Drosophila melanogaster: one gene and its partners. The protein of the gene in region 3 interacts with the protein of the main gene of each other region in a pairwise test. Each region holds a gene or a part of one and is shown on either strand. Other genes may lie near its edges. The genes, in order: CG2310, santa-maria, CG42288 and rtv.

Evidence for each region.
Region 1: the proteins of CG42288 (region 3) and CG2310 interact in a two-hybrid assay, tested with the Drosophila melanogaster proteins (one large-scale study listed by BioGRID).
Region 2: the proteins of CG42288 (region 3) and santa-maria interact in a two-hybrid assay, tested with the Drosophila melanogaster proteins (one large-scale study listed by BioGRID).
Region 4: the proteins of CG42288 (region 3) and rtv interact in a two-hybrid assay, tested with the Drosophila melanogaster proteins (one large-scale study listed by BioGRID).

The regions. Positions count from the first base shown.
Region 1 is NT_033777.3:29,489,122-29,496,249, reverse strand, and holds CG2310 (uncharacterized protein), read left to right. Parts: upstream 1-2,731; 5' UTR 2,732-3,000; intron 3,001-3,498; 5' UTR 3,499-3,528; coding exon 3,529-3,854; intron 3,855-4,011; coding exon 4,012-4,079; intron 4,080-4,140; coding exon 4,141-4,502; 3' UTR 4,503-4,726; downstream 4,727-7,128. Other genes in the region: diedel, read right to left, coding at 2,024-2,371; Spase12 (spase 12-subunit), read left to right, coding at 5,212-5,235, 5,294-5,440, 5,497-5,622; CG2006 (uncharacterized protein), read right to left, coding at 5,722-6,705; CG2321 (uncharacterized protein), read left to right, coding at 7,074-7,128.
Region 2 is NT_033779.5:7,442,328-7,453,157, forward strand, and holds santa-maria (scavenger receptor acting in neural tissue and majority of rhodopsin is absent), read right to left. Parts: upstream 8,918-10,830; 5' UTR 8,622-8,917; exon of another isoform or gene 5,361-8,621; 5' UTR 5,321-5,360; coding exon 5,180-5,320; intron 4,975-5,179; coding exon 4,669-4,974; intron 4,609-4,668; coding exon 4,089-4,608; intron 4,027-4,088; coding exon 3,302-4,026; 3' UTR 3,028-3,301; downstream 1-3,027. Other genes in the region: CG5973 (uncharacterized protein), read left to right, coding at 1,319-1,505, 1,567-1,658, 1,733-1,886, 1,946-2,071, 2,138-2,316, 2,382-2,532, 2,600-2,646; Gr28a (gustatory receptor 28a), read right to left, coding at 10,214-10,333, 10,393-10,830.
Region 3 is NT_033778.4:14,088,070-14,094,116, forward strand, and holds CG42288 (uncharacterized protein), read left to right. Parts: upstream 1-2,961; 5' UTR 2,962-3,039; coding exon 3,040-3,306; intron 3,307-3,378; coding exon 3,379-3,502; intron 3,503-3,566; coding exon 3,567-3,658; 3' UTR 3,659-3,745; downstream 3,746-6,047. Other genes in the region: prosap, read right to left, coding at 3,924-4,091; CG42287 (uncharacterized protein), read left to right, coding at 2,307-2,528, 2,588-2,723, 2,787-2,866.
Region 4 is NC_004354.4:11,149,067-11,155,879, forward strand, and holds rtv (retroactive), read right to left. Parts: upstream 4,925-6,813; 5' UTR 4,827-4,924; intron 4,762-4,826; 5' UTR 4,612-4,761; coding exon 4,551-4,611; intron 4,509-4,550; exon of another isoform or gene 4,422-4,508; intron 4,295-4,421; coding exon 3,900-4,294; 3' UTR 3,418-3,899; downstream 1-3,417. Other genes in the region: Lint-1 (l(3)mbt interacting protein 1), read left to right, coding at 648-785, 859-894, 1,570-3,061, 3,172-3,314; Dlic (dynein light intermediate chain), read left to right, coding at 6,071-6,162. UniProt on the Drosophila melanogaster protein: Required for chitin fiber assembly and organization involved in cuticle formation and tracheal development.

The DNA of each region.
Region 1 (7,128 bases), on a different chromosome or scaffold from region 3:
CTCGTCAGATTCAAAATCATTAGTAAGCTGTATAAAAGTATCTCGAGATATTTTACTATATTTTACTTATATCTAAAAGTATCTGATATTGCTGATAGTATCTACCTTTTGTAGGTTCGGATAACCTATGGATTCATCTTAAGATATTTCTACTTCTTAGATACTTTAAGATGCATCTGAAAATGCTTCTGTTTCCCGAGGAATAACCTTCTGAGCTTTATCCTTTAGCGCCTACTTTAAGATACATTTCCGCACAGCCTGCTTTTGCATATATATATTTAATAGTAATAATAGATTTCGAACCCCTTTTACTTTCTCAGTGCACAATGTTTGTTGCCAAGAATTCTATATATACGCCATCGTTCGTCTGTCTGGCTTTGTTTTGTTTACTACATCTAATATGTATATCTATCTGCACATGTGTATGTTCTATGTACAGGGTACTCACCAGTCGGGTCTTCACCACGCCAGAGTCGTGGAGTCCGATGGCCTGCGAGGAGGTTTGCGCTGCCAAAACATTCCAATTATCCATGGTGGGCACTGCGCTCTAGTTCGCGATTTGGATTGGGATCAGCCGGAAAGCTGAAGGTGTTCGCTGTCTCAGCTGTACAATATGTATGTATGTATGGTCTTGCTGGATCCGTCCGCTTCTATCTATGTATCTATGTATCTATGTATCTAACTAAGGGAGGAGATGTGCCGGCTATACTCGCATGAGATACATTCATTCATGAGCTAAACTATTTCTGCAAGGCTTTCCCAATTAGTCACACTGAATTCTGAGCATTTCAAACTAATTGTTATTTAGAAATTATTAGTTTACAAGCAGCTAAGCTAATTAAATTACCACATTTTGAAGCAAATTAATAGGAAATCTATATTCAGTAGTCTATTAGTTCTGGAAAGTATAAGTATATTAAGTAAGCAAGCGAAAGCAGTTAGTTAAAACTTCGTTTTTACTATGTTATTTACCCATTTGATTAGTTGATCAAACGAAATTGTTAGACACTTTCCGCAAATAAACGAGTGCGAGAAGGAAAGCTTTTAATTAATTAATTAATTGATGCCCGCAGGCGATTAAAATAGCAAATTCACAATTATGCAAACTCAGTGAACACACACACATTGTTCACTTGCGACTTTTGATTTTCGACGAGGATGGGCGTCACATCTGAATTTGTTTCATCCTTCGCCCGGTTTATTAATAGTTTTCCCTCAGCTGGTGGATCTGGTGGAAAAAACTGTTGGGGTTGCAAGTGCAACGTGGAAAGTGCAGTTTCGTAACTTTAGCACTTTCGTTGCAAGTTGAAAAAAAAAACTAGGGAAATTCACTTGGCAAATTCACTTATTCTGTTGCAAATTACTGGCAAATCGGATTGATAAATTCCGGCGAAAATCGACGGATTCTGCGGCTTTACATGGGCGAATGCTCCGCGTTCTCGACGGCTCCACAACTCTGAGAAAACTGAGAAAATCAGGCGTCCGCGGAAAATGGTTTATGCCAAAATTCACTCGGCTAGTTGATCGTACTACATGCGGAGTACATGGCTACATGGGCATCTGGGGATCTGTGGATCTGTGGATATGGAGGGGTTATTCGGGGCGATCTCTGCGAGTGCAGGCGTCATTTGCTTTTCCCATGGCGAGCGGCCAACAGAGGGGCGGTTGCCCAGGGGGCGTGGTCGATCGTTGGGAAACAGATATTACAAATGCTAGAAACTACAAAAAATCACTTCTTATGATTTGAGCACTGGATTTTATTCAAAAATTAGCCCATATCATCTCAGATTTTGATGATAGTTGTTTTTTTTTTAGTATAATAGTTTTAGTTAATAGCGTAATTAATGGAATTCAAGATTAAAAATAAGAATAGTTCCTAGTAATCAGATTGAACTGTTTACATTTGATTAGAAAGTGGGAACCTTATCAATTTCATGCATATATAAAATAAAATACACATAATTAATTAGTAATTTCTGGATGCAATTAAAGCTTCTCTTTATTGTTTATGTGATGCAAGGGGTTAAAATGGCAGCCTGGTGACTTTGATGATCTGGATTCCGTACTGCTGGTTCCTCCTCACAAATTCCTGTGACCAATCGCCGCTCAGACAGCCGCCGTCGCAGTTGCAGCCGAAGATGTTGCACGATCCCTGGCCGCAGTAGGCGCCCAACTGGGCAACACCATCGGCGCAGATCGTCACTTCGCAGCCGTTGGGATAGTTTTCGATTGCACGCACAGCCTCGCAGTCGCCTCTGTCCATCTTGAATTCCACCAGCTCCCGGGAGGTGCAGCATTCCGACCGAGCCACATGGACAAAGGCCAGGGCGCAGATCCCGACGAGAAGCAGGCTGACTACTGGGGATGCCATGATTGGATTTACTGGGAGAACTAATGCTTTTCACCCCGGCAAACAGCGATTTTATACGCTCACAGTGGGTGCAGGGAATTCGCTTAGTTGGCAAATGCGCTCCAAGTTATTAGGAAAATTGATTAGGCCCAGTTCTCGGGAAATTTACTTCTAACATAACTCAAACACATAGTCATGAAATACTGTCTAGTTACTGCGCTTTAGTTTAAATAAAACTTGTAATAATCAAAAATAAAATTTTAAACACAGATCACTTGTAACGGAAATCCCATTTGAATTTTGGTGATCGGCGTTGCCAGACGGCTAAAAGCGTTAGCACTAGCGGCCCGTTCTGATCAGAACGCAGTGGCGAAACGACGGTCGTTCAGTCGTTTCTTCGCCGCTCAACCGTTCGGTCGCTTCTTCGGTCGCCCGCCTATCGATATCGATAAACGTAGGTGTGCCTGCAGTGCGCCTGTGTGCGTGTATGTGTCAGCAGTGCAGTTTTCCTGTTTATCCCTGAATTCTGTGAGAAATGTGATATAGAAACAGCATTAGCGAACAACTAAACGCTTTGCGCAACCGAAATTCAGCTGCTTAAAGGGACATCGAAAGTGGTAGCTGCAAACATTATAGTTTGTTTATATCTGGTACAGTGCGCGTTGCAACCTGTTCTATGTGTGTGTGTTTGGGCAGGTGCGACAGTGTGTGTGTGTGTTAAGGGACGCCCAAAGAGTTGTTGTTGTTGCAAAGTTATCGATTTTAAATTTCAAGAGATGCTCACTATCGTCAAAAAAAGGAGTTTTTTAAACTAATCAGATAAGCTAACAATTGTTAGTAACTTCTTAGAAAAAAGCTTCGTTACAAACTCAAAATTGCTGTTAAATTTGAACAGCTAGTAATAATGTTCTTTCTCCATTTGAGGAAATGTAAAACGAAACCCACAATTGCGTTTAAGCAATCATCTTGAACGAATTGGGCATAATTACAATTAGATGAGCAATTAGAGCGCTCGAAAAGTGGCCAATTAATTAACTTGACTGCCCATTACCATAAGTACTTTAAAGTTGAATTAAGATCAACTTGACCTGGCTGGGGATCAAAGATACCCATATTCTATTCACTATTCACTTGTCCGCTTATTTCAGATACTCCTGCGAGCAGATACCATTCGCACGATGTCGTACTACGCGGAGCGAGCCCTGTCCCTACTCTACCCGCTGGCCATCGTTTCATCGCTGGTCTGCTGCATCACCTCGGCGGTGGCCTGGACACACTGGCAGTACGTGCTCAATGCCTGCCCGGACACCAATTGCGGCTGCGTGCTGCACGGCAAGAGCACGTTCCACAGCTTCGAGGGCGGCAACGTCGCCTACTGCCACTTCGCCACCTACGGCCTGCTGCTGCCGCTGCTCTTCGCCGTCGTCCTGGGCGTCTACCACGGCTACCGCATGTGCATCGGTCGGGGCAAGCCCAAGGCGGGCACGGCCACCATCCGTCAGCGGTAAGAGCGGGCGATCGCGATCGAGTGTCGGCGGGTCAATGGGGTTAATCGGCCAGCCACACTCGTTCGTCTGTCTGGCTATGAGTAATGCCATCATGGGCTCCAACTTGGAGCAGCATCAACTGTTTGCTTACGCCTCTCTGCTCTCTGCTTGCAGCTCCGGTGACATGATCGTGGTGACCACCGAGTCGGAACTCACGCCCGATGGTCTCTCGCCCTACTACTGTGAGTGTCCATCGTCTCCGAACTTAACTATGTACAAATGTGTAATACTTAACTAATTTAGGGCTGCCCGCCACCGTCATCTCGACAATAATGGCCGTCTACCAACTGGTCTACTCGGCCGTGTTCACGGATGGCTTCGAGGTGACTTGCAAGCAGTACAGGGAGTCGCTGCTGAAGGAGATCCAGGGCGTGGGCAACATTGTGCCCGTGATCAAGTCGCGGCTCTCGTGCGCCGCCGTCTTCGACTTCATGGACTATCTGGTGGAGAGCGTGTCGTACGAGCGGCGACGCTACGGGCGCATCAATACGGCCGCCTGCCTGTACTTCACCCTGGTCTTTGCCTGGATCGCACTGCTCGCATGGCTGCTCGTCTGCGTGATCAATGTCGTCCAGCTGCGGCGCACGAAGGCCGCCAGGGTCTGAGTCCTGCCATGAATCGGGAGGCGCGAGGTCCTCTACACTTTACATTCCACCTGTTCGCCTTTTAACTTATTTAGTTAGTTATAGTGACACACAAGCCAGAACGTCCACGTTATGAACGCATTGTACAAATAATATACATATGTATGAACAACGAGCGATTATTCACATCGCAAGCCTTTTCAATAAAATGACTATAATTGCATTAAAGATATGCATGCATACATATATGTAAATGAAGTTAAGTATTTTAAATGGGCTATTAGTTTGCATTAATTGGCGTGGTTTAAAATTATATAAATCATTTAAAGATGCAACATTTTTGCCTTCTATAAACTTATTTTACATATTTTGCATAAGAAAAGGTGAACTGAACTTATTTATTTTGTTTCAAGAGCTTACTCTGCAAAGGAAAACATCATTTAGAGAGTAATAATCTCCGTTTTGTTTGCATATTTTAAATTTAAAATAATAAAACACAATTGAAAGCTACAAACAATTTCGCTATTTTTCAAACACACTTATTTTGAAAAAGAGGGAAATAAGCATGTACAAAAATAATGGGAAATTCACCGAGTTCCAAATTCCAGTATATTCTCATCCCCTTGGCATTTTTCGCTCGGCACGGTCACACCATTCGGCTGCTGACGTGCCGCAAAAGAAAATTGTTTACGCCGAAAATTGTTGAATCGCAGCTTGTGAATTGCACAAAATGTTGGACATCCAGACGCATATGGTAGGTATGCTTCGCAACCATTAGCACATAACACTAACACGGCACTCTACCGCCGCAGGACTTCGCGGGTCAGGGAAAGGCGGAGCGCTGGTCGCGCTTCATCATCACGTTCTTCGGAATTGTGGGCCTCGTCTACGGAGCCTTCGTGCAGCAGTTCTCACAGACCGTGTACATCCTGGGCGCCGGATTTGTGCTCTCCTCGCTGGTGAGTAGCTGTCGTGTTAGTAGCTCCATTGCTAACAGCACGAGATTCCTGCACAGATCACCATTCCACCGTGGCCGCTGTACCGTCGCAATGCGCTCAAATGGCAGAAACCCATCGATACGGACGCCAAGTCGTCGAGCTCCGAGTCCGGCGACGAGGGCAAGAAGAAGAAGAAGCAGTAGAATCAGTGGGATCAGTAGTTAGTTAGGCCAGCAGTTACGTGTACTTCTCACTACATCCAATATAATATATATATATACATATGTATGTCCATTAGAACGCTAGATGGGTCGTCGGTAGGCGATGAGGTCGTTGTGGTCATAGTACTTGTGGATGAGATCGTACATGTGGGCGAAGAAGAAGAGCAGATTGTCGTACTGCCCATTGTAGGGCGCCTCCCTGCCCACATTCTCACTGGCAGCTGTCTTGGTCAGCGGCTCTGCCAGCTGATGGAAGCCCGCGGTGATCTCCAGGTTATCGAGTCCGCGATAGGCGGTGTTCAGGCCCCAGGCATTGATGTGCACCTCCAGGAGGAACTGGTGAATGGCCTCGATGGTGGCCAGATACCAGCGCGGACTGCCGCGCTGGTGGCGCCAGAATTGCGACAGTCGATTCTGCAGCACCACCGTTCGTAGGCCGCGCACCCTGGCGTCCGCGTAGATCCCGCGACTCTGGTTCCATGTGCTGTCTATGAAGACGGCTCGGCGGACGGGCAGGTTGTCTAGCGTCCAGGTTCGTCGCACCGTCTCCGGCTCATCTACCTCCTCCTGCAGCTCCTTTACCTCCACCTCGTCCATTCGCCTGCGCAGCATGGTGCCCATGTGGTGGCCCTTGGGCAGCCCGTAGTTGTCGCCGATCTGAAGCTGCACATTGCGCGCGAAGAGCTGCGGCACCGCAAGCGCAGTGGCGCTTGGGAATATGAGCACTACGCCCGCCTCCTCGCGATAGTCGGGAATGTCCGGAAATGTGTGGATCCTCACGTGCGCCGGCGCCAGAACGGCCGCGTGCACCGCCGAGCTCTTGCCGTCGATTTCCTTTTTGTGCTTAATGATGTCCACTTGGAGCGGCAGCTCCAGACGTGGCAGCAGCTCCTCCAGCTCGCCAACCGGCACACAGCAGCTGTAGCAGAAGAACTTGCGCGATCGGTTGCACAGGCGGCAGTTGTGGCGCCCCTCGATGGTGTCCAGTGCGCTGTGGTCCGCGATGCGCATATGCACGAAGGGGTATTTGCGGCTGCGCTGCGGCGCCTCCAGCGGATGCGTCATTTTAGCGGAAAGTCAACTTTTTAAATTGAAATAACAAATTTCCTATTAAAGTAGCCAATTTGGTTATCGATAACAAGCGGCTGATGCGACCAGGGCTGCGCAGCACTGCCTACACAAGCTGGCTGGAATAGCCCAAATGTTATGAAAAATAAATGTAAAATATATGTAGTGTATGCAAAAACTGTAGCAATAATTCAAAAGTAAAATTAATTTAATGCACACATATGTAGAATGTGTGTGCCAGCCCTGCTGGCATCAGCGCGCGAAACGGTCACACTGCGCCACGCAAATCAAAAGCCGGCAAACTTTTGCGAAAACTAAGAAACGCATTTTATAGCCATTTTCCGGGAATTTAAGATGCAAGAGTCATGCGCGGCGTTCGCAAGTGTGTTCACTGCGGCGCCATCAATGGCAACCGGGCGC
Region 2 (10,830 bases), on a different chromosome or scaffold from region 3:
AGCATAAATTACCCAAGATTCATTGACGAAATTTCTGGAAGCCACGAAAATTAAAAAGCCGCAACGCATTTGCCGGAATGACAAATCTACCTCTATGCTGGCTCCAAGTTTTTCAAGTTTTACGGCTTCAATCTACTATACTATACTAATAATATCAAACAATCTTTGCTCTTGGCCTTGACTTTTACCTTCATTCGCGTTGACCGCACAAAAAAGTCAATATCAAAAAAACGTACTAATTGCTTTGAATCATAAGAGCAGCAGTAAATCAAATTTAATGGCCAACACCGATTTGCACTACTCTGCGGCTCAATCCACCGACCAAGTTCTTTAACTTCTCAACTTCGAGTCCGAATTTTTCTGTGCCATTGTCAAGTCCTTCATGACAGGGCATAGATCACAAGTGCTACGTCATCGAGTCGATTTTGACCAATTTTGTTTTAGCAGCCAAGGTGTTGCCAAGTCGTCTGCGAGCCAAACAGTCGAGACACGTACTTGTTGATATGTATCATACATATAGAGAGATCGAGTGTTCAAAGACTGTTCAAAGACTAAGAAAATCCAACTAATAATAGTTATGTTTTTCTTTGTTCTAAAACGTGTATTTGTTAAAAGTTAATGTTGACTTTATGTAGCTATAAAACTATTATAATGACATACTTATAAAAAAGAACTTAAATTTCAGCACTCAAACTCTTCTTTGCTGGTGCTTTTAATATTTTTACAAATTGATGGCACACTTATACAAATTTAAACATCTAAATAATTTAATTCCGTTAGGATATGACAAGTCTTTAAAAAAATCATGATAAATGACCTAAGAAGTGCAGCAAACGCCCTGACCGAATTTCTATAACCTTTGCGGTGAGGGTATCCAACGATTTTGGCCATCGAACGCACGTTTTGCGACCAGTTTTGGGTGCTATTGTCTATCAGTCTATCTATTTCTATATCTATATATATTTACCCGTTTGTCCGGCGAACTCTTCTTCCGTTGTGGCGGTTTTCGGCGACTTTTGCCTATGAAGATCAGTTTTGAGTCATACATAAACATCGAGGTGTATGTGTATATTTATATATATTAAAACAGTTTCCATTGGAGCGAGGCATTGAACTGTTGCCGCTTTTGCTTTCTGCTTGGGGTTTTGGCCCTGCTGCGGAAGTAACCCAGTTGTGCCAATCGCTTTGAGGAAATGGTTGCCAAACCACTCAAAATGTTTGAGCCGAGACCAAAACAACTTCATTCTCGTTCGCAGCTTGAACCGGTGAACAACTAGCGCCAGATCGCGGCATCCAGATCACACAACATATCCACACCATGGGCAAGGCAGAGTGCATTAGCTACGATGAGCACAAGTTGCCCTACATCGATCTGGGCTCGGCACAGATCCGCATGGAGAAGGAACAAGCGCCGGAATGGGCACTGAAGAAGGCACAGGATGAGTTGCGGGAAGTGCCCGGCGTCAAGGAGCAGGCCATCAAGGAACTCAGGGAACTCATTCAAAGTGGGTGAAAGCACATGCACGTTGGTTAATAAAATTTAAAAAAAAAATTCCAAATTAATAGATGAAAAGTACCTGAACCTGCCATTGGATGATGAGTATATGATGATGTTCCTGCGTCCCACCCATTACTATCCAGAAAGTGCCTTGAAAAGGGTGAGTAATTTGTTGAAACATGCAAGCTTTAAATATATATATTTTTTATTTATTTTCTCTTACATTATGTACAGCTCAAGAACTTTTATCACATGAAATTGAAGTATGGAGCCGCTTGCGAGAACATAATCCCCAGCAAGTTGAGAAACGTTTTCGAGGCAAATATTCTGAATTTGCTGCCCCAAAGAGATCAACACGGCCGTCGGCTTTTGGTGCTGGAAGCTGGCAGTAAGTTTGGCTCTTAAAAACAACTAAAAAAATGTCTATAAATAATTGAATTACTCCAGAAAAATGGAAGCCATCGCAAGTGCCCTTGGTGGATCTATTCCGCGGCATTCAATTGACCGTACTGGGTTCTATGGTGGAGCCCTACTCACAAATTTGCGGCTCAGTTGTCATTATCGATATGGAAGGTAATAAATTCTAGGCAGGAAATACAAATTATACAAGTTACTTAATACATATTAACCATTTTGCAGGGCTGCCACTTAGCCACATTACACAATTTACACCGTCATTTGCCGCCATGTTGCTGGATTACATTCAAGAATGCATCTGCATGCGTTTGAAAGCAGTTCACATAGTGAATAATTCATATATATTCAATATGCTCTTTGCCGTATTCAAGCCATTCATTCGCGAAAAGCTGCGCAAGAGGGTAAGTTTGAATAAGAAATACATGAAATAATGTTAAGTTATATGTAATAAATTCCTATTTGGTAGATCTTCTTCCATGGCAAGGACTACAAGTCCCTGATCTCCCATATTGAGGCGAAGGCTTTGCCTCCGAAATACGGTGGTTCTGCCACATGGGAACTGCCACACGGCAAAGTTTTGGGCGAATTCTTTGAGTGCTATTCCAAGGATTATGAACGTAAGATATTCATAAACAGCAATATCAGGCTTTATATACTAATAAACTTAACTTTTTTTTTTTTTAGTGGCTGACAGCTATGGGTATACTGAGGGGTATAAGATGAAGAAGTAATAGTACAAGGAATAGTCCAAAACTAACCCCCCAAATCCGCACAATCCTCCCTTCCCCCTTTCGATTCGTATTTTAGTCACTTAAGTTGGGTCATTTGTGATATTGCAAATATTGTCGTACGTTAAGTAATAGTCTCTTTGCCCTTTAAATGTAAGGTTAAGAAAATTATTCACAATAATTAAAATGATCACGATACAAGCTCATGAGCTAGGCATTAAAGTGGATACCATATATACTATATATTTTGTATAATTGTTATTGAACTAATAAAGATGAAAAAAATGTTGTTAAAATTCAAAACAAACGTTGTGAGCTGTAATGAAATAAAAATAGTTATGTGCAATCTTACCCACTTAACCTACTAAAATGATAATTTCCTTTGTAGTTGAAGATTTTATTTGACACGAAAGCCATGGGTCAAGAAATCATTTTAATACAAAACATATCTAATAACTAAGGAATGTAAAAAGAGTATTCGTTAGCTAAGCGAAGTCCACCAGACGTTTCGACTTCGAAGGCTATCTAATCTTTGGCATAGGCACGGGAATGCTTGCAATTTTCAGTTGGGTGTTTTAGAGTGTCACTAAACTATGAGCTACGACTAAAGCACTAGGACGGCTTAACTATCTAAATGGCGTGAATGTGGCGGTTCTGTTCAATCCTGCTTATTGTCGCTGATGGCTGTGGATGCAGTGGCCACACTTTCACCCGTCTGGGATTTAATAATGGTTGGCTTACGGCCTTTTTCGAGGAGCGGAGAACTGTCCGGAGATCCTTTGACACTCTTTTCGCACACCAAAGTGGAGGCCTTGGACTTCAGTTCCTCAGCACTGGAGAATTGAGAGCGACTCTTATACTGGCCATTCGTTTTGGTTTTGGTCCTCAGATCGTATCTACGATTTCGACAGGAAGCCAATAGAATCTGAACCGGAGTCCAGCAGAGTAGAGTTATGCCTACGATCAAGCAAATTCCGGCGAATATATGTCCGGAGAGCATGACAATGGGCAGCACCTTCAGTTGATCTGCCATATCTGGAGTGATTCTTACTTTCTGTTCGAACCATACGAGTGGGAAAAATATCCTTGGTATTCCAGTGTATAAGCTAATGCCTTGGATTGGCTCCACGAGCATATTCACTTGAAATCGGGCAGCCACCTCCAGGGGAATACCAGTACTTGGCTGCACAACCATATAAAACTCGTGATCCTTCTGGTTAGGACTCAAGCCCTCTACCTGATCTGGGTAGTAAGGATCGGCGTTGAAAAAGTGTGGATAGGACATAAAAACAGGAGATCCAAAGCGACAGGAACTGATGTTCATCACACCCGACGGAACACATTGGCCACCACAAAAACAAAGGTTCTCAGGATACTGGGTGCCTGAAATATAAATCTCTAATAGAATGGGTACTCACAATTAATCAATTCTTATCAAGACTCACCATTATCTACAGATCGTGGTCCGCCTGAGAATTTATAACCTTCCAGTCCTTCAATATCCACAGTTTCCACATAATCCAGCGGAATAGTTCGGCACATATCGGGCGTAAATAGACCAACACTATCGCCGGGCTTCAGATGCTGTGGCTGGAACTCCCCGGCGGATCCATTGGTCATACCGCAATAGGAATCAAAGAATCCAGTGTTCTCCTGGTAATTCCACGAGTGCATCTGACCCAGTTTGGCCAGTTGATCGGCGCCAGTGAAGACATTAAAAACTCCGGTAAGATCGGCACTTCCATTGCGCGTATAGAACCAACCGAACTTATCGAATGGAACCTTCACCTCATCACCAAAAATGGGCATGGCCATGGCCACGTCGATCATTGCGTCATTGTAACCGGTGAAGAGCAGCTCATCGATCGATTTTTGGACAGACATCTCGGCACCGTACATCTTTAGTCCCACATCGACAAGGGAGCGCTTAACTGGTGGCCAATATTTGGCTGTGGCGGCTGCAGACTGAAATGGAAATGTATAGTTATAGTTATATTATGTAATAAAAGGGAATAGGATACTTACCAGAGCCACTGCATTAAGCGTGGTAATCTCATCGTCCAGGCTGCCATTACTGCCCGCCGCATCAAAGTAGAACAAGCTGCGCCTGCGATAAGTGACGGATGCATTTTCTGGATGCCAGTGAATGTCCACCTTATCGGGTCGCTCGATAAAACGATAAGGACCCACCTGCTCCAGAATGGGCTTTGTGGAAAGGTTGCCGAAATCCTCCGGATTCGTCCAGTTGTACAGGTAGATGTCCAGACTGAGATCAATTGGCGGACTCTTCCAATTTTCATAGACACGTGTGTCGGGGGCCAGAGCCATTTCCTGTCGAAGAACAGAAGCCGCAATTGGTATTAATTGAAAATCTCAACGAGTTTTCCTCGATCTTTGACTCGCGCCAATTGAGAGGCGGCTGTTTTTCTTTTGACTTTCAATTGGCTTTAGCCACTAATCGAATGCAGCTGGCCGGGCTAACACTGGAGTGAAGTGAAATGAACTTAACTGAACCTCTGTCAATGACTGGGATTACCTTGTGCATGATCCAATCGAACAGGTCCACCCAGAACATGCCGCACAATATGCCAAATAGTCCCAGGCAAAAGCCGAAAATGCCGATAATTAATTTGCGATTACTTTTTTGGCCCCACATTGCGCTGTTTTGTGTTGGCATGGCTCACGCTGGGCGATGGTGTGTGGATACCTAATGGTGGCTGTAATGATATGCAAGTCATTGAAACATCAATGAAAATGGATAAATTGATAGTCTATTTGCCAACATATAAAAATGGATCAAATGAAAGAACTCATAAATGTAGTGCAAGTTGAGAATGTACTGATAAGTTTTCTATTATAAAATCATTATGAACAAATCATAATACAATAATTTAAAATATAACTTTACACAATATTATTTTGTGAACTCATGTTCATGTTGCCTACTTTCAGGCAGTGCTAGTTAAAGAATAAAAAAAATGTAGAATCAAATCTCTTATTAACAGATGCATCAAGTCACATATTAATATAAGTATGGCGAACAAAGAAATCAACAAAGAATTGAATACAAATAAAATGCAAAAAGCGCAGCATTTTATTGAGTGACGAATTCCCATAGCGTCTATTTTTATCAATATAATTGAATCAATTTAAGCAAAGCGTGACTTTCAATTGCTGTTTACACTCATGTAGAATATACTAAGTCCGGTAAGTATATGTGTACATATATACAGAACTATAGTCGAATCCCCTATCAGTGGTGATAATTACAAAGCTTCCCCCGACACTCAACGATGATGTGTTTTAATTAGTTATGATAGTTTGAAGCTGCATTGCAAGCAATACGTGTAATTATCCATTTCGTTTACGAATAACATGCATGAATGTGGATAAAATATTTTATGATCGCATTCGGTAGGCGAATTTTCCTATATGGGGCATTCACTGTGGTCCGATAAGCGGATTCTGAACTCTTAGGTAAACAGACCCATGAGGAAGCCACAGACAATTGAGGAAATTGAACTGCACTGCACTTATCGCTTATCGGGAATCCATCCTCTGGCAATTATTTGACCAATCTGCCCAGAGTTCCCATCACCAAACACTATGTATCACTTGAGCATAAATATTGCATATGTACGTACATATGCCACAGGTTCGCATCTCTGTGATATATCGTCATAATTGAGTCTATCAATTGACCCCGCAGTGAGCTATGGTTGGGTCTTTGACACTTTGCGTTATTGCACATGAATACGAGTAGGAATCTATATATATATATACACATATATACATATATATATGCTTATTTGGGAGCGTGTCAGTTGTGTTCTGGTTGGTGTCTGGTAAATTGATATGATTATGTCTTTTGAATGATGAATAGCTGTCGAGCATTTGTCGGCGCCTTTTTATTGTCTTCACAATTAATCTGAAGTGAGTTTTAATTGAAATGGACGTTGGACAGGTGCATCACGTAGAGTTCATCCCGCATTTTTCGCTTAATTCAATTAGATCAAGAGCAATACCGCACATAACGAGGATAGATTTTGAATGGAAATCTAAGAGATTTTAGCAGGAATATCTCTTTTTGTGAGAAAATATTTATAGCAAGATACGTTTTTTTTTCAGTGCAGTTCTTTGATATTCGCTCTTGAAGCTCGAAGCCGCAACACTGAATAATTGCGTTTAATTAAGCTTAAATTTTAGTGACCGGTATATTTGATTCATTATTAAATTAGGCATGCTCTTGTCATACTCTCTGGTTCTTGATCTTCTATATTAACATTTTTATGAATGCTCCGAACGCTTTATTCATATTCTATGCAAATGCACCGAGAACACTGAACTCTGAAGTGATGCCACATCGAAAGTGAATGCATTCTGAAACATTCTAGCAAGAATTATCTGCCTTTTTGGCGTTAACTTCCTGAGTGCAAGTGCACTTGATATGAAACGGAAATTCTAAGTACTAAGTCAGACGCAGTAAACCCGATACTTTAAGATCGTCTACTGGATGTGAGACAAGTCAACACCTTCTCAGTTTTTCCTGATGTTTTTCAACCCCATTTAACCACAAAGGCTGCCATTGAGATAAACCGCAACTTACAGATTTGACGCAGTTCGCAAATTCACATATGCTTGGGCGAGTATTTTTTGATAACGAGCTATCGGCATGTAATTGAGTTTTCGCAGCCTTCAAGTACGAAAATACACACGACGATTTAAAAAAAAGCCAACAACTATAAATAAAGAGCGAAAGGCTAAACCGTAAATAGGCTTGGTACTTTTAAAGGTCCCTGAACTGCAGAAAGTTATTTTGTTTCTTTTTAATGAACTTTAAATCAAAAAATTTCTTTAAATGCCACTTTTACGTAGCCAAGATTTCAGTATTAACTAAAGTTGTTTAAGCCCTTTGAGATTTTAATTAATTCATTGTGAATTGATTAATTGATTTGACTTTAATTGTCCAGCATGAGTTGAATTCTTAAACGAAACTTTAATGAACATGCTATTAGGGGCTAGTTTCGATTATCTTGAACTATATTTAAACGGGTCCCATGAGTAATTTGCCAACGAACAGCTGTATTTATTGAGGATTCGCCAATCTGGGCATTGATTATTCAATTAGCGAATAGCTGGAAAATGAATGTGAAGTTTCTTTGGCTCTTTATTGCATACAATAAAGAAAATTTAAATAAATATTTTAATTTGCAATTTTTAAGACATTCGTTGGTTTTCTATTAGAGTATTTACATTATTTGTTTTTCAGATATTTATTATCTTATAAAGGCACACGCAACTGCAATTAGTTGGGAGCAAGTTGATATTTAATTATCTTGAACTTTAAATGGTTAACAGGTCGCATACGCAATGTGTTTTGTACACCACTGTTTTGTTTTTTATTTATATACCAAATAAGATCAGCTGCCGTTCTTTTGCAGAAAATTCCAAAACATATACTAGATTTTTTTATTTTTTCATTATAATTTATCATCGCCCAATTTCGTTTTATGTAAAAATACAAGCTACAAAACATAATTCGTCAACGGGGCGCATGCTTAATATTTTCCTGAGCAGCTGTTTTCCCTGGGACTAATTTTAGACCATTAATCGCACAATCAACAGGTCGCCTCGTAGTCCAAGCTGGAAGCCCTTTGTTTTGCATTCCGGCACTCTTATTTCTTCAAAAGGGAGACGACACACAAAGCCAGTATAAACACAAAAAGAATGTATAATATAGATTGCCACTGTACATACATATATATTTGGTTTTCTGTCTGGCGACTATTTTTCATTCTTGTCGAGTTAATTTCATTTAATGACCTGTAATCTTAATAAGTCTGCCGGCGATTAAGCCAAATCAAGCCAAAACGTAATGTGTTAACAAAGCAGGAAGCGCTAAGAAATTACGTGATATTGCGAAAGGAGTTTTCTTTTGTCTTTCCAAATTTCCTTTATTTTCTTTTAAAGGCACTCACTTGACTTTTATTTGCTAAATAGAAACAAATCACAGGCTCCTCGGTTTTTTTTTTACGTTTTGATTTTCCTTGCGAGGAAATTGAAATTCGATAAGGATGTGGACAGAACGCTTGAGCACGTGGATGATTTCTTTGCACAGAGGCCGGAAAAGTGGACACGAGTCCCTGGGAAATGCCGTAAAATGGTACCGCTTCGCCCGGCGGCTTCGATGCGACTGTGCGGCGGACTCTCAGCGAACGGACCGCGAGCAGAGCGGAGCGGTCTCGGCGGCCGATGAATGTCAGTCAAGTGCGGCACATGGAAATGGAAATGTATATGGAATTGGGCTTGAGAAGAGCTCCGAGTATCCGAGCAACGGTGTGTATGTGTGTGTGCGAGTGGGTGTTTGGGTTAATTTGCGCTTTGGGCTTTTCATAGTTGTGCCATTGAATTTTGAATTAAACAATATACAATCTGAAACGCGAGTACGACTTTAAAACTGTAGAATGCATCCAAGGGAAGAAGTAGTCAGAAACAACAGTGTCACCATCTTTATATAAATTTTTGGAAATAATCTAAATTGAACCATTTGCTTTGTTAAATACGTTTACAAATATTTTAGTTTCTTATATATATATTTTTTAAATATTTACATCTAATAAATATCAAATGATATAAAAATGAAATGAATGAACTGAAAGAGTCAACATATTTTCTATTGTTCAGTCGAATAGCAAATATAACTGGGTCACATTTCAAAAAATCACAATCAGCGAAAGAAATTCCTATGCACTTAGATTTCATAAAACTGCGAATTTTCGCATACGAATCGGGTGGCTTGTGGAAAAGTAAACAAATCGTAAAGTAGAAATCCGAATTGATAACAAATTGTCGAAGCCTTATCAATGCGGCTAATCGTGATGATTAGCACTGGGTGAACAGCGAACATTCACGACTAACCCCACACACTTGTAAGCTGCGAAAATCGACAAGCGATCAGAGCAAAGTTTCAACTGTTTTTTTGTTTTATTTCGCTATCATAGGGGCACAACTCCCCAGCAAATGGCATAGAAAACACCCATGGATTGCAGTCTGAGGCAATAAAACAATAAAATGTCATTGCTTCAGTGCGTATTCAGGCTGGCTTCCTTATTGGATTAGTCTTTTGCCTCCTTTCACATGGCGTGCTAACTGGGATTAGCTATCAGTTGTGGCCAAAAGTCAGTTACCGCTGCAGATTATGTTGCAATGTTGTGAAGTGGAGCAAGCAGAAGTGGGTCAAGCCAGCCCTTAGCTTCGAAATGGGTCTCGGCCAGCATTATCCATTTGAATTCATTAGTGAAATTCAAGCAGCTCATGTCAGCCAGCAACACAGTCAGTGACGTAGCAACCAGCTTGTTGTTGTCGATTGGCTTACGTTACGTGAATACGTAACGTACTGATTAAGTGCAATTGAAATGTTTACTTGCTTTAAATATTATATCATAACTTAAAAAATACGGATAAAAAATGTAATTTACTGCGAGCTGGAAAACTTTAATTTATTTTTCATCTGTACGTTAGGACACTTTATGTTTAAATTTAATTGATTAATGTGTATATATAATTTTAATCAATCGCCGAGATGAATGGAATGTAAATTATTTGTTGAATTGGAGCTGGTGTCGTCCATGTGATGTGTGAATCGAAACTGAATTAGGATAATGAGGTAGCACGTGGCAGCACCAGTAATCTGCAAAAATTAACCACTTAAATAAATAAAATATTTAATTATTTTCAACATTAGTTCACCGTAAAAATCAGTGTGCGATCCAGACGAAAAAGTCCTGCGGCTGTGAAAAGGACCTTCCGATGCGACAGCTGCAAGGACAGACGGAAAAGTCGATCTCTGAGTTCTGGATCATCGGTGATATTGAGAATCTTGTGAACTATAGCTGCCGTATAGCTGCTATGCAAAATAGTCCGACTGCTGCCCTCCACGATCAGCACTATGATCACTATATACCAGATGAGCTGCATCAGGAAGAAGGCAAAGAACTCATCGGCCTCAAAGACATCCAGTCGTTTGGGATTCAGAATGGCTTCCAAAATGTAAAAGTCATCAAAGAGAATGAACAGAAAGGATATGGCTATGATTCCGAGCAGCGGATATGTGAAGTATTCCTCGATGGTCTGGCAAATGTCGCAGAGCAGATTGTGTATGTTGGACACCTGTTTGATTGCGTATTC
Region 3 (6,047 bases):
TTAAACTCAAGATAATTATAGAACAGTTGGAATATTTTCAATTACCATTACATGTGGCTCACTTATCGTAATTCCATTCAAAACGTTCCCTACACGTATTTTCCATTGCCACCTTAGACCACAAAAAAAAATAAAATGAGCCACCGAGTAGTCCATATGCGGCTAAGCTTTCCTTACTGGTTTCTTATCGCCACGAGCCAAAGTTGTTTATTAACCAACCTGAACTTCGGGCCAAACAAAGCCCGTTGAATATTACACGCAAAACGACTTAGACACAACAAACCGGTAAGTAACGCCCACCCAGAAATTGAAGAAAAATCCATTGAATACAGATCAGAGAAGCTTTAATTTCGTTTTGATTAGCAGGCGGAAGTTGAGATGCCAGTGGGGCTAACACTCAACGGCGAACTGTAGCAGCGACATATTGGCGAAGTGACTGATTGTCCGACTGACTGACTGACAGACAGACAGATTGACTGATTGATGGTGTGAAGTTTCACTGAAGCTTGGCATGAGCAGCGCGGATCGGTCATTGAAAGCGAATTCCTCACCAGACCCAATAATACATTTATGGAACCCGACGCCATCGTCAGGTGTCCCGATAATGGGCGACGACGACCGATAAAATGGGAAATTATACAGGCACTCTCGTTTGTCTCTTCGGGATTTACTCAACCATTCCTCAGTTATCGAAGGCTCACAAATGGTTGAGCAAAAAGTGCAAAGAAAGAGGCCTCAATTGGAGTGCAAATATTTGTGCGATGATAGCATGAATTGTATTCTTTATGACGGTCTATATAGGGTTCTATGTTCGGTCGCAAGAGAAACCATGCGATAAGATATGCGGCCAGTTTACTGATTGATATACGACTGTGGGGAAGCAGGAAATTTGTTGGTAACCTGCTATGCTTTCAGGTGGAATAAGTAAAGGGAATATGCTAGATTTCCCAAACCAATGGATTAAGTTATTCCAATGATGTCATATTCTTTAGTTTGCAGCATGAACAACTTAATTAGCCCTTGCTATCTTTCAACAAAACACAAACAACATGCTTCCATAAACTTTAATCGCAATTCACATTGCATGCTTATGTAACTCAGGATATTATTCCCCACAAACAAATATCCCCAAAAAATGGTTAAAGCACGCTCAGCTTTCGGTTCCCACACAACCGATCAGAATTTACAACATAATTTACTAAGCTGCACGCTGACAGTGGAACCAGAGCGGCCACGCCCCCTTGCCAAAAAGCCAAAAACAAGGCAATGTCTGTCACTTGACGCGCTGAATTTGAATTGGCCGAAACGAAAACGGAACCGGCACGAAAGACCCGGCCATGCAATTAGCTGGAGGTCATTGTGTTCGGTTCAGCGAAGTTCATTTCAGTTCAGTTCAGTTCAGTTCGATTCGAATCGATACCAGTGTGATTTCAAATCCAGTTCGGTTTCAGTTTGGGTATCGCCCAGAGTTTCCGTTTGCAATTTTGCGGTTTCAATATTGAATTGGGCGAGGCCCCCGCATTGCATTTACGCTTGACAATGTTTCGACAGCAATTTGCTCAACAAATTGCGATTAAATGTATACAATTGATTGACCATTGTTTGGCTTTCATTAGCACAAAGGAGCGGGGAAGTGCCTTTCATTCGGTGAGTAATTTGACGGCATTATAAGGGCAAATAACCGCTGATCTTGACCCCCTGACCACGCATTTACTCATATTTCAAACTAAGTAACATATGTGAATATGTTAACACGTAGTTCTCCTAATCTGTTGGCCATTGAAAAACTAACCTTCCTTGTGACTGACACTTTTTTTTTGCCTCCCCTTGACAGACTGCCATTCAATTGTCAAATATCTTTGGATCTGCAGCGTCACGATTTCCAACTGGGCGCACGACCTCAGACATTGCAGTTGCCGATAAATTGCATTGAACTTCAAAAATTGAAACTTCACGAGGGCCATTTGGCAGCCATTCGAGGGCGGCTGAGGGGGCGTGGTCGTTTTTATGTTGTAAGGGCACGTGTCAGCCTTTGGCTGCATAAAAATTTCAATCAACAACATCTGTTGAAAAATTGCATTGCGATTCCACAGTAATTGGTTTTTTGTGTGATTCAATGCAAAATGCATTTAGTTTGATTGTGAATTTGTGTCTTTTAAGGATTTTGATCCTTAATCTTAGTGCAAGATTATTATTGATTCAAATATTAAATAACTAACGCAAAAATTTTACGATCAACTGTTCCTTGCATTCTGTTGTTTTGGGCGAAATTCATGTAAAAAAAAATCACAAATTTCTGTAGCGGCATGTTTTTTAAAAAGTGCTGCTTTTTCCTGCCCCTCAACGTGGGTTGCATAATCATTGGAGCCATCTTCATAACATTTCACGTTGGGGAGCTGATAACGCATTCGGATGACACCATTTTCATCAAGCAAGTGTCCCACAAATGGTGGGCACCCGTCATCATGTCTCCGATCCTGACAATTGGAACTCTGAGCTCTATACTCCTTGTGTATGCTGCTTCGAAGGTAAGAGATTCAATTGGTTTCTTTCAAGATTCTAATGCTTTATAACATTACAAATGCAGAGCAAGCGAGGCTTTGTCCTTATGTGGATTATCATCTATGCAATTATACTATCCCTATATTTCCTAATGGCCGTTGTCCAGTTGGCCAGGTCGAAACCTTCGCCGATTATATTGGCCGTTCAGGTGTTCATCATAGGTGGGTGTTGGCCATTTTTGATTGAATATGTCTGAATAATGTCTTGATTTTCATACCCCCTAGTTGGTCTCGTTTATTCCCTGCTAATAGTGCTGGCTTTTTATCGATATTTGAGCAGTGTGGATTCTGACGATTCAATTTGATGAGTTGTAAAATAAATGTTAAACTAACGTGTAACTGAATTTAACTGATCTAGTTTACTTCTTTCAGTGTGTCCCTTTTATACAAACTAGATTTTCAACAAATTTCAGTTTCTCAGGAAAGCTTTGAAAATTGTTGTTTAAAACTTGCAGTGCGGCTGAGGATCGGATCAATCATGGCCTGTCGCTGCAAATATCTGAAGCAGATCTTTACCAAGTGCTGCTACTGCTATTCCCTGCGTTTCGGTGTGCTGCTCTTCGGATGCATTTTTCTAACCTGGTTCATTTACATCACCATCGGCACCGGCTTCATGATGGAGTGCATCTTTCCGAACGAGTATCAGAGGTCCCTTATCCCAGCACCGGCGGCCCTCAAGGCCACCATGGTCTTCTCCTTCTTCGGCATCATAGTTTCGGCCATGCTCTGCCTGGGAGTGCACAATGTATGTGATCTGTCTATTATAAATATTCCCAATATATTTAGCATATGCTTATAATACCTCATAATTTTGTAGAACAACGAGATGCTCTTCCTGCCATTTTTGGTTTTCACACCCATTTGGATAATTGTGCACATTTTTGCCCTGACCGTTTACAGCTTTAATACCATCATCATCATCCTGACTGTCATCACAATGTGTGGGTACCCCCAATAATCATGAATCTAAAGCCTAAATTAAGTATACTATTTAATGTTTTATAGTACTTTTAGTGTATGCCTGGCTGGTGGTTTGGTCCTACTACATAGAACTGCTCTTCGCCTACGAAGATGAACTGGAAACCGGTTATGTGTAATAATAGTAATAATAATGATATTTACAAATTTTAGTATGTTGAGCAAGCATTTGATGTGCCTAATAAAATAATGCATGTAGGATACAGAAATACAGATCATAATTTCGCTTGAGCAGAACTCCATACTATGTGAAGTAGACCCCATTTCGGATGTACATATTTCTCCCCGTTTAGTGAGTATTTAGCGCACATGAGACATGCCCGTGCTCTATATACACCGAAAAGACAATGGGTATCGCAGTGGTAATGACAGTGACCGACTTACCTTCGGCAGCGAGGCGAGCACCTGCTGCTTGACATCCCAAACGAGCCGCTCCGATGGGAACTGCAGACACTTGTAGACATTCAGCTCCGGCACATGGATGCGCACCAGTAGCCATCCGTCCCGCGGCTCCGGCGGCGGCTCATCGTCAAACGCACCCGACCCGGACATGGCGTCCGTATTGGCCGGGTTCTGTTTGACTTTGGGCGTGGGTGGGTGGTATGTCGTAATTTTGACGGCTTTCTATCGCACGGTCCACGAAAAAAAAACGAAGCTACTCCCGCTCCACTGGGAGATCTCCTTCTAGCCGTTCTATTCGCTTAATTTGCTCTTTCCTTATTTGGTTGCACTTCAAAGTGATTTGCCTTTGGGCGTGATGAGCTACTAAGTTAATTTATCTAACTTTTTATTGCCAATCTATTTGGCTTTCTTTTACGGCCTTCTGCTGTTGGAATCCGTTTTGTTTGGACATTTCGCTGTGCTGCGTTCGTTGAGTCTGGCGCATGATGGTTCTGAAATGAATCAAATTAGAGGTATAAGAATAAAATATATTATAATGTATAATATTTCCTTTCCGAATCATAATGCATTACCCAATGAAGCTATTAATTTTCACTCCACTTTCATATGCACTAAATATTTTCGCATAAATTTAGTACACATATGCAAATTGCAATCCATTAAAAGCCTGCTCAAGTCCAGACAACAACATAAAATAGTTTCCCCAGCACTTAATTTTTAAATTGGTTTACTTTTCGAAACTGTCCACTGCACTTTTCCTACGCACTTGATGATATCAGTCAGACGGCAATTGGCCCGATTTTCCGAGCCCCTTTTCATGTCTGCAGGCCTATCTAATAGGAAAAACAAATTGTCAGAGTGAAAAGAAAACACTTGGGCTGCCGCAAACATTTCTCGTTGATGATTACAATTTGATATTGACATTTTATGGCTGCAGCACTGCAATGGCAGTTGCAATTGCAATTATGCACAAATTAAATTCACACGCTAGCTGGAAAGGAGGAGGTGCCACACGGTGGGTGGAGGATTGGAGGCATGTAAATGTGTGCCAAAGACCCGCTGACAGTTGTCGCTTTTGTGTTGGGGAGGAGGAAGGGGGGGGGGGGCGGAAAATGGAGCGGAAAAGCGGGCGGAGCGGGACATGTCGAGGCAACTGGAACTGTGGGCGGAACGGGTTAGCCACCAACTGCAGCAACAACCACATCTGCAAGTCTGCACTTTGTCGCATTTAATTGCGAGCGTGTTGATTGCATTCAACTAGTTAGAGTTGGCATTTCGAAAGGGCGGGGGACGGAGATGGCGGGAAATGGGGGAAAACTAGTGTAAAATGGAAATCGCTTGCGGGAAATGATAAATCCTAATTGAGGATAAAAGTTGTGGGTGCTCTGTCTGAAAGATGAAAGGTTTTGCAGTCAAAGGTTGTGACAAAATGAAAGGCTTTAGAAAAAGGTGGAAAAAAGGAAAGCATTTAAAAGTGCTTGTAAAATCCCAAATAAGAAGACTTTACTCGTTGAGTTTTTGTAAGAAACTGATTTTATTTGGAAATATCTTCGGTTTAAATAGGTGACATGAGAATCGCATCTTAAAGTAAATGGCCTACGCAGAGGCCTAAGTAAATAGTCCCCGCCTTATCGAGGTCCCACGCTCGGGCACATCTGCCTATCTTGAGCGGCGAGGACCTTATCTGTGGTCTCCCACTAAGGGACTATTTTAGGAGGCGGGGAACGATCTCAAGTGACTGACTCATGTAGTGTGCACTTAAATTACATGTTTTTGAGCAATGCACCCATGTCGCCTTAGATAACAAAATCCTAAATATAATTTATCGCTCTCGATTCATTTACATAAGATATGAACGGAGCCCAAAATTGTAAGTCTTTAAATATATTCGTGTTCATGTGTGAACATTCTGCCAAAGGGCCAGCAAGCTGAGATGTACATTAGTATATTAGTTGCATTTATAACAGTAGTGGACTGTATTTATTTGATATATGTTCATTTATTTTGCAACTAAGATTTCAATGGGCCTAGTTTTTCTGGCTTTTAATTTTATTGGATTACAATTATGGTTTATATTATTTTTAATTCAACAATTTGTACTCAATT
Region 4 (6,813 bases), on a different chromosome or scaffold from region 3:
TACATAAGCCTATAAGCACGGCATTCCGGAACACGCTCTGTCAACAACACCAAACATAAATGACTTTCATGGGTACTTTTTTGTATAGGCTTGTTCATATTTTGACCCATAAAAAAAAAAAAAATAATAAAAAACTTTCCAATGTTCAAAAATTTCACCGTTCCGCCATCGACTCTAACTCATCGACGCTAATTTGATGGTCTTGCGTGCATTTTGGAACACTAAATAACGAAAAATTAATTTTTAAAAAACTTCCCCATGTTCAAAAATTCCACCGTTCCGTCATCGAAGTTATTGACGCACATCGTCCTTATTTCTCCAAATTCATAATTAAACGCATATTAAGATTAAAAATTCGCTACGAGAACGAGCACATGTATTCATCTATCTGGCAACGCCACCAGTTGATGCAACACATTTTTATCTTAAATTGCGAAGTTCCTCGGCCAGATATCAGTTACGAATGTAGTGATCAATCTATCACATTTTCTAACCACATTCGGTTTCAATTCCCACCCCACTCCCTTTCGAAAATTTGCCCAAAATTCCCACAAGTGCATCAATTGCAACGCATCCGAAATCAGTCGCGTGCGTGATTCGTACGATAACCGTCGTTATATATATAGCGTCAATATAATCGGAACAAGATGAGCAAGTACCATAAGGAGCGCAAGTACGCCAAGTTCAGGTACTACATGGAGAAGTACTACGTGCTGCCGCTGGAGCTGAAGAACGACATCATCTACTGCCAGCGATCGCTGCGCGATTTCCTCAAGGTTCACGCGGTAAGTGCACCATGGCTCCTTGGCGAACACCAGTTAATTTGTTTCCTTTGTCTCTGTTCTCTCACTTACGCAGTTGGTCTCGGAGGTCTTCGATGAGCAGGCGGATGCGGTGGGTTTAATGCCAGAAGACTGCAAGTCTTTGTCCTTTGTTCTCTACGCCACGAGAATTCCCGATTCCCCAGGGTGAAGGTGTTCGCCCGTAGAACACCACCCAACCCCCCTCCCACTACACACAACCAAAAAAAAAACCAAAACAAAGAACTGTATGTAGATGAAGCTATGAAACGTAGTACTTAGTTTAGTTTTTTCATTTCAAAGAAACTGATGTACTCGCGATAATTTTCTAGAGTTGGGTTAGAAACATGAAAGAGGCAACTGCGTTTTAAGCAAAACTAATAATGCACAAAAATTGGGTCAAATGTTTTCATTTCCAAAGGAACCACGTTCGCATCTCTGAATTTTTTCGAAATTACTTTCACTTTTTTTTGAAAAGAAGACATATGAGAATTATGTATATGACGAAATCCATCATCTATATGAGCAAATATTGCTGATTTCTTAACAGCATTAATGCGCATATTCTTTAATGCCGCTTTATTTCAATATTTTTCCAACGTGCATCCTTATCCATCAATCTCAACCTCATTTGTGATTGAAATGTATTCCCTTTTTTGCTCAGTGCTTGTGGTCATTAGCGTTTTTAATGGCCATTAGCACCTGTGCAGCTTCCACCTAACAATCCCAGCCACACCTAATGTGACACTCACGTTCTTGTCGTCATTAGGATCCAGTGCAGATGCGTCGCATCTTGGACGAACTGGAGGAGGAGGTGTACGAGATCAATGCCGAGCAGCAGTTCCTTCTGCTACGCCTCAACGATAGCCTACAGGAATTCTCCGTGAAGCTGAAGGAGAACAACATCATGTTCCTGCCGGACATCGCCCATGAGTACGTTTCCGCCCAGGTAGTGCCTTTGATCGTCGATCCCAACTATAAGATTATGCCACAGTCGGTGATGGCTCGTGATACCGAGGAGATGCTTATTCGCAAGCACTTCCTGCTGAGCCAGGACGATGATTCTGGTATGCCGCCGCTTAAGCTCAGCGAATTGGATGAGAATATACCATTGATGCTGGCTCCGCCGGTTAGGGGATTGGGTCAGCAGATCGCCGCCGTTAAGCCGGAGCCAGAGTGGCTCCAAGGCGATGAGGCGACAGTATCAGTGCCACCGCCGCCGCCACAATCGAAGTCGAAGCTGATGAAAGGGTCGCTGGATTCGACCCCGGCCAAGCGAGAGAATATCAGCCGCAGCTCACCGCCGCCCTTGGCGCCTATAACCCAAACCGTAGTGGCTGAGTTGTCACAAGTACCTCCATCACCACAAGCAGAATCTCCACCAGTAAACTTTCACGTTGTGGCCCAGAGTCGCAAGAACTTGCAGCAGGCATTGAGAAGGGCCAGAAAGACGAAGCAGCAGCCACGTTTGTTCGACGACGAGGAGGACCTGGAGATCACCAGTTTGCAGAACGATCGCAACAAGAACAGAACCAGCGATGGCAAGGGGACACCGCCATCGCTGGAGCCAACGAATGCTGCCGCCAATCAGGCAGCCAAGAAGACCATCCCACAAATGTCTAGTCAGGGGATGGCGAAGAATAATACCGCGAAGAGCAAAAACACGTGCAGGAAATCCTCGCCAACGCCCACATCCAGTGGACAGTCGCAGCCAGCGGTATCGTCATCCGGCAGCTCCGATGATTCCAGTGCCGAGCTGCAGCAGGAGCAGCAAAGACGCGTCGCATCCGCCGCCCAGTGGCGCGATGAGCCGCGCGAGAGCCGCACCCAGCCGGAGGAGTACGGCCAGGAGACGTTCCTCGGCCTCTTTGAGCTCTACTCGCCGGAGGTGCTCAAGAAGCTCAGTCAGCGCCACTCGAAGCGCAAGCGTCGCACCGTTCAGAATGCCAGCGGAGTGGATTTTCACTATGGCCAGCAGTTGAATGCCGTGGACGCGTTAGTCATGGGCGTTCGTGGTCAGAAGAAGACCAAGGAGAAGTCCGAATTCCTGCTCTCGCCGACGGAAAAACGTTTGCAGGCCAACTCGAAGAGGACGTACACACGCAAGAGCAAGTCGCCGGACGAGATTTCGGAGAAGAGCAGCGCAGGAGGAGGATCTGGCGCATCGGGAACTGCGTCTTCATCAGCCTGTCAGCATAAAGACGGCGGTGCCTCCAAGTGCCGCAAATGCCGCGAGTGCCGTGAATGCAAACGTCGTGTGGGTGAGTCATCCACCAACCACAAACTTGTTGAGTTGGTTTTCTTAAATTCGTATTACCCATTTAATGATTTTATTAATATTTTATTGTTTTGCTTGTTTTTTTTTTCCCAGAAACCGAAGCGATGTACTGCCACTTGTGCAGCGGATTATACCACATGGACTGCCACGAGTTCACCAAAAATCGCCAGCTGATGCAGCTGCAGAACTCTCGCTGCCCCCCATGCTTGCGCGAAAAAGATAAGTTGGAGAAGTAGTGCGTTGCCAAGTGAGCCATTGATGTTAAATGTTTCTCATTCTTGCATAAAGGATTGTATATATTTGAATCAACCCTAGTTGGTATGCTGAGTTCGTGTTTTTATATTAAAATTTATTATTACTTAAATGATTATATGATTATATAAATGATTATTATATTCTTATTTTATAAATATACTAATTAAAACGAATGGATATTCTATTTGCAAACAAAGAGAATGGTGTTACGCAGCAGGAGTGATTTAATTAGGTATATGAATAATATTCATATTGTTTCTTTTTCGCAAACAATCGAGTCTGTTCCACTGATAGCTGATTGACCCGAAGTCGGGATCTATGCCATATATAGCCATAATCAATGGTTACATATTGAATGTAAGTACCTTATTTGCGATCGGAAAAATGATACGAAAAAATGCACGAGTAAACGGCAATAAAATCTTAAGCAGAGCAAGAACATTCGATTTTAAGTAATAACAAAAAATTGTTTGTATTTATCGAACTGTTGATATTACATTGAGTGTTGCTGAGTATTGGAAGATGTATATACACATTGCCGGCTAAGAGCACAGAAAGCAAACAGTCTAGTTTCGCATCCGCTGGAGCAGCCAGGAGCCGAGCAGCGGCAGCATGGTGATGAGGATCATCTGGGGTGCACTGGACCAGCTCCTCGCGCCGTTGCACAGGTCGCCCTGGCAGAAGCACATGTACACCTTCTTATAGTTGTAGATGGTGTCCGCACAGCGATCCATGTTGTCGTCCGGACCGCGCTGCACGCACATCCGCTGGATGGCCAGGTCGTAGTCGTCGATGGCATAGGTGCCGCCGCCCTCGATCACCTTGCCGCACCAGCCGCTGGCGCACGGGATGGCCGCCACTCCCGGTTCCTGCTCCACGTCCGTTGCATTGAAGGTGAAGGGGTCCTTGCAGCTGCCCAGTTCGCCACGGGATCGGCACTGATAGCAGCGGCGCAGAAGGCCTACAATTGAAAGTTCAAATATTTAAAATTTAAAACATGGTTTTACTGAGCGTTTAAATCTAAAAGTGAATTAAAAATGAAAATTTTAAATAATATGCAAATGGAACAATTAAGCAAATAACAATACAACGGAAAAAGTTAGTTTTTAATTTGATTTCGCCGTTTTCCCCATGTGAAAATCGAATTATATCTCTCTCACACACACACAACACATATGCAACTTAAACAAAAGACTTCAACGAGAACACGAACTCACCATCGATTGAAACCAGACTTATGAGAAAAATCACAGCCAGTAAAAGGCTCGTAAATTGCATGGTCCCGTCTTCTTATTTCGCCTACTAACTAGTCAATAATGATAATAATGAATAATAGTAAATATATGTAAATGTTAAGTCAAGGAAGTTTAATCGTGAATTAGTGTTACCAGGCGCTGGAATTCCAGCGAATCCAAAAGGTAAAAAGCTCTGCAAAAATAAATAAATACGTTATTTAATATAAATATATGTATATACATATATACAAAAATTACAATTTTATCAACGATTAATTATTTCAAAAATATATTCCAAAATAATGCTAGCTAGATTAATTTATCGATAGTATCGATACTATTGCATGCTTGCATAAGTAAATGCTAGAATTTTAGTAGATACCAGAAATAGTAGCTTTGCCACAGCGCCATCTGCTGGAAATGCGATCAAAGTTCACAATGAGATTAAAGCGACATCTATGAGCAGCGTCAAATCGTTATTGGAATATTTACTTTTTAATTATTAGTTACTCGTTATTCGAAGTAATTTAACGGGTATCTGATAGTCAGTACCTCCACTAAAGCGTTCCCTCTTGCTATCATTTTACCAGCCATATAAATAAATAAACGCCGGGAGAAAAGTACAAAAAGAAATACAGAATAGTTACAAAAGTGATTGTTGTGGGAACGGTATTTCCCGCACCTGCTAGTGCCAAGTGTGACCATACCCGGGTCACCATTTGGTATCGGTATTTTTTGCAGTATTTTTACACGAATAATTGGTGCGAAAGGAAAAGCAAAGCAAAGCAGAAGTGAAGAAGAAGAGCAGTGAAGAGGAGAGGCAGTCAGATTCGACGACGCAACGGCGCTGAAAAAACTCCAGTGGAAACGCACACGAACGCGGCTCTTCTCCACATAAATATACATTATATTATTTAAGTTTGCCTTGTCTAATTGAAACGATCGAAAGGCTGTCCAGCGGAGAGGACGTGCGTGAAAATCCAGGGCGCGAGTTTTCACTGGAGAGGAGAGCGAAGAGCGTGAGAAACTGCGTACGTAGGAAACGGAATAAAAAAAGTGGGCAATCAGAAAGGAGGAAAGAAAGAAAATAGAGTGAGCGAGAGAGATAGATTGAGTAGAAGAGGAAATTTTGCGAATTTGTCAGCAGCTGTGCGTCGTAACTAAAGCAACAGAATTGGAAGTGAGAGTGGGTGGGAGAGAGAGCGTGGTGACAAATGCATAGAGAATTAAACAAAAATAATACAAGTGCGCAGCCTTGCAGTAAAATTATTTAAATAGACTGCTAAATCATATGCAGCCGACACCTGGCAGCCGTCTCGCTCTGTCGCGCATGTGTTTGTTTTTGTTTGCCAACTGTTTCTCATCTTCCCTCTCTTCCACTCTCCCTCTCTCTCTTTAGCACTCTCTGTTGCAGCGCCAGCACATCCCGTTTCCCAATTGGACCCAGCCAGGAGTGGAGAGCGTTCCAATAGGAGCACCGCAGCTGCAGCACCAACAACAACATGGCGATGAACAGTGGGACGCAAACGAATGCGCTGACATCATCCTTTACCATGAAGAAAAAGGATGCGGCCGCGGAAAAGGAGAACCTATGGTGAGTGCAATTGCAGTAGTAGCGACTACTTCAGCAAGTAAACCTCCCAAAAAGGGAACACAACCCCAATTGACATATGCGTAATCCCCCAAAATGCAAGCACCAAGATAACTCAAGATATAAGATCAGTTACCAAAAAAACAGAAACTATAGAACAAATAAGTAGGTAGGTAGTTCGAGGTGGAAAAATATGAAATTTGAACCATTATTGTAATAATACTTAACTTTCAGAGCATGTAACTCTGTACATTACAATATGATATCGACAAATAACTACCCAATATGCAAAGTGCAATAAAATTTAATCTCAAACGAGAGAATCTGAGAAGATAAACAAAAACAAAGTTCGGAGAGGGCGCTCCATACTTCTCTTCAATTTGTTGATAACTTTCTTTTAAAATGACGTTCGCTAGTTGCTTTTTGCCACCACTACTACTACTATTACTATCTTCAACTTGTGCCCGTTGGTAACTAATACTACTCAATTTTTCGTCTTACACTTTGTAATTTGCTTTCCGATAGCCGGCAACTCCCATTTTTTTTATTCTATTTTTTGGAGCCGCAAACCAGCTGATTTCATTGGCATGTTGTCATTTCTTTTTCTACCAATATTCCTCTACTTAACCTCAAATGTTGCAAAAAAGAGATTTG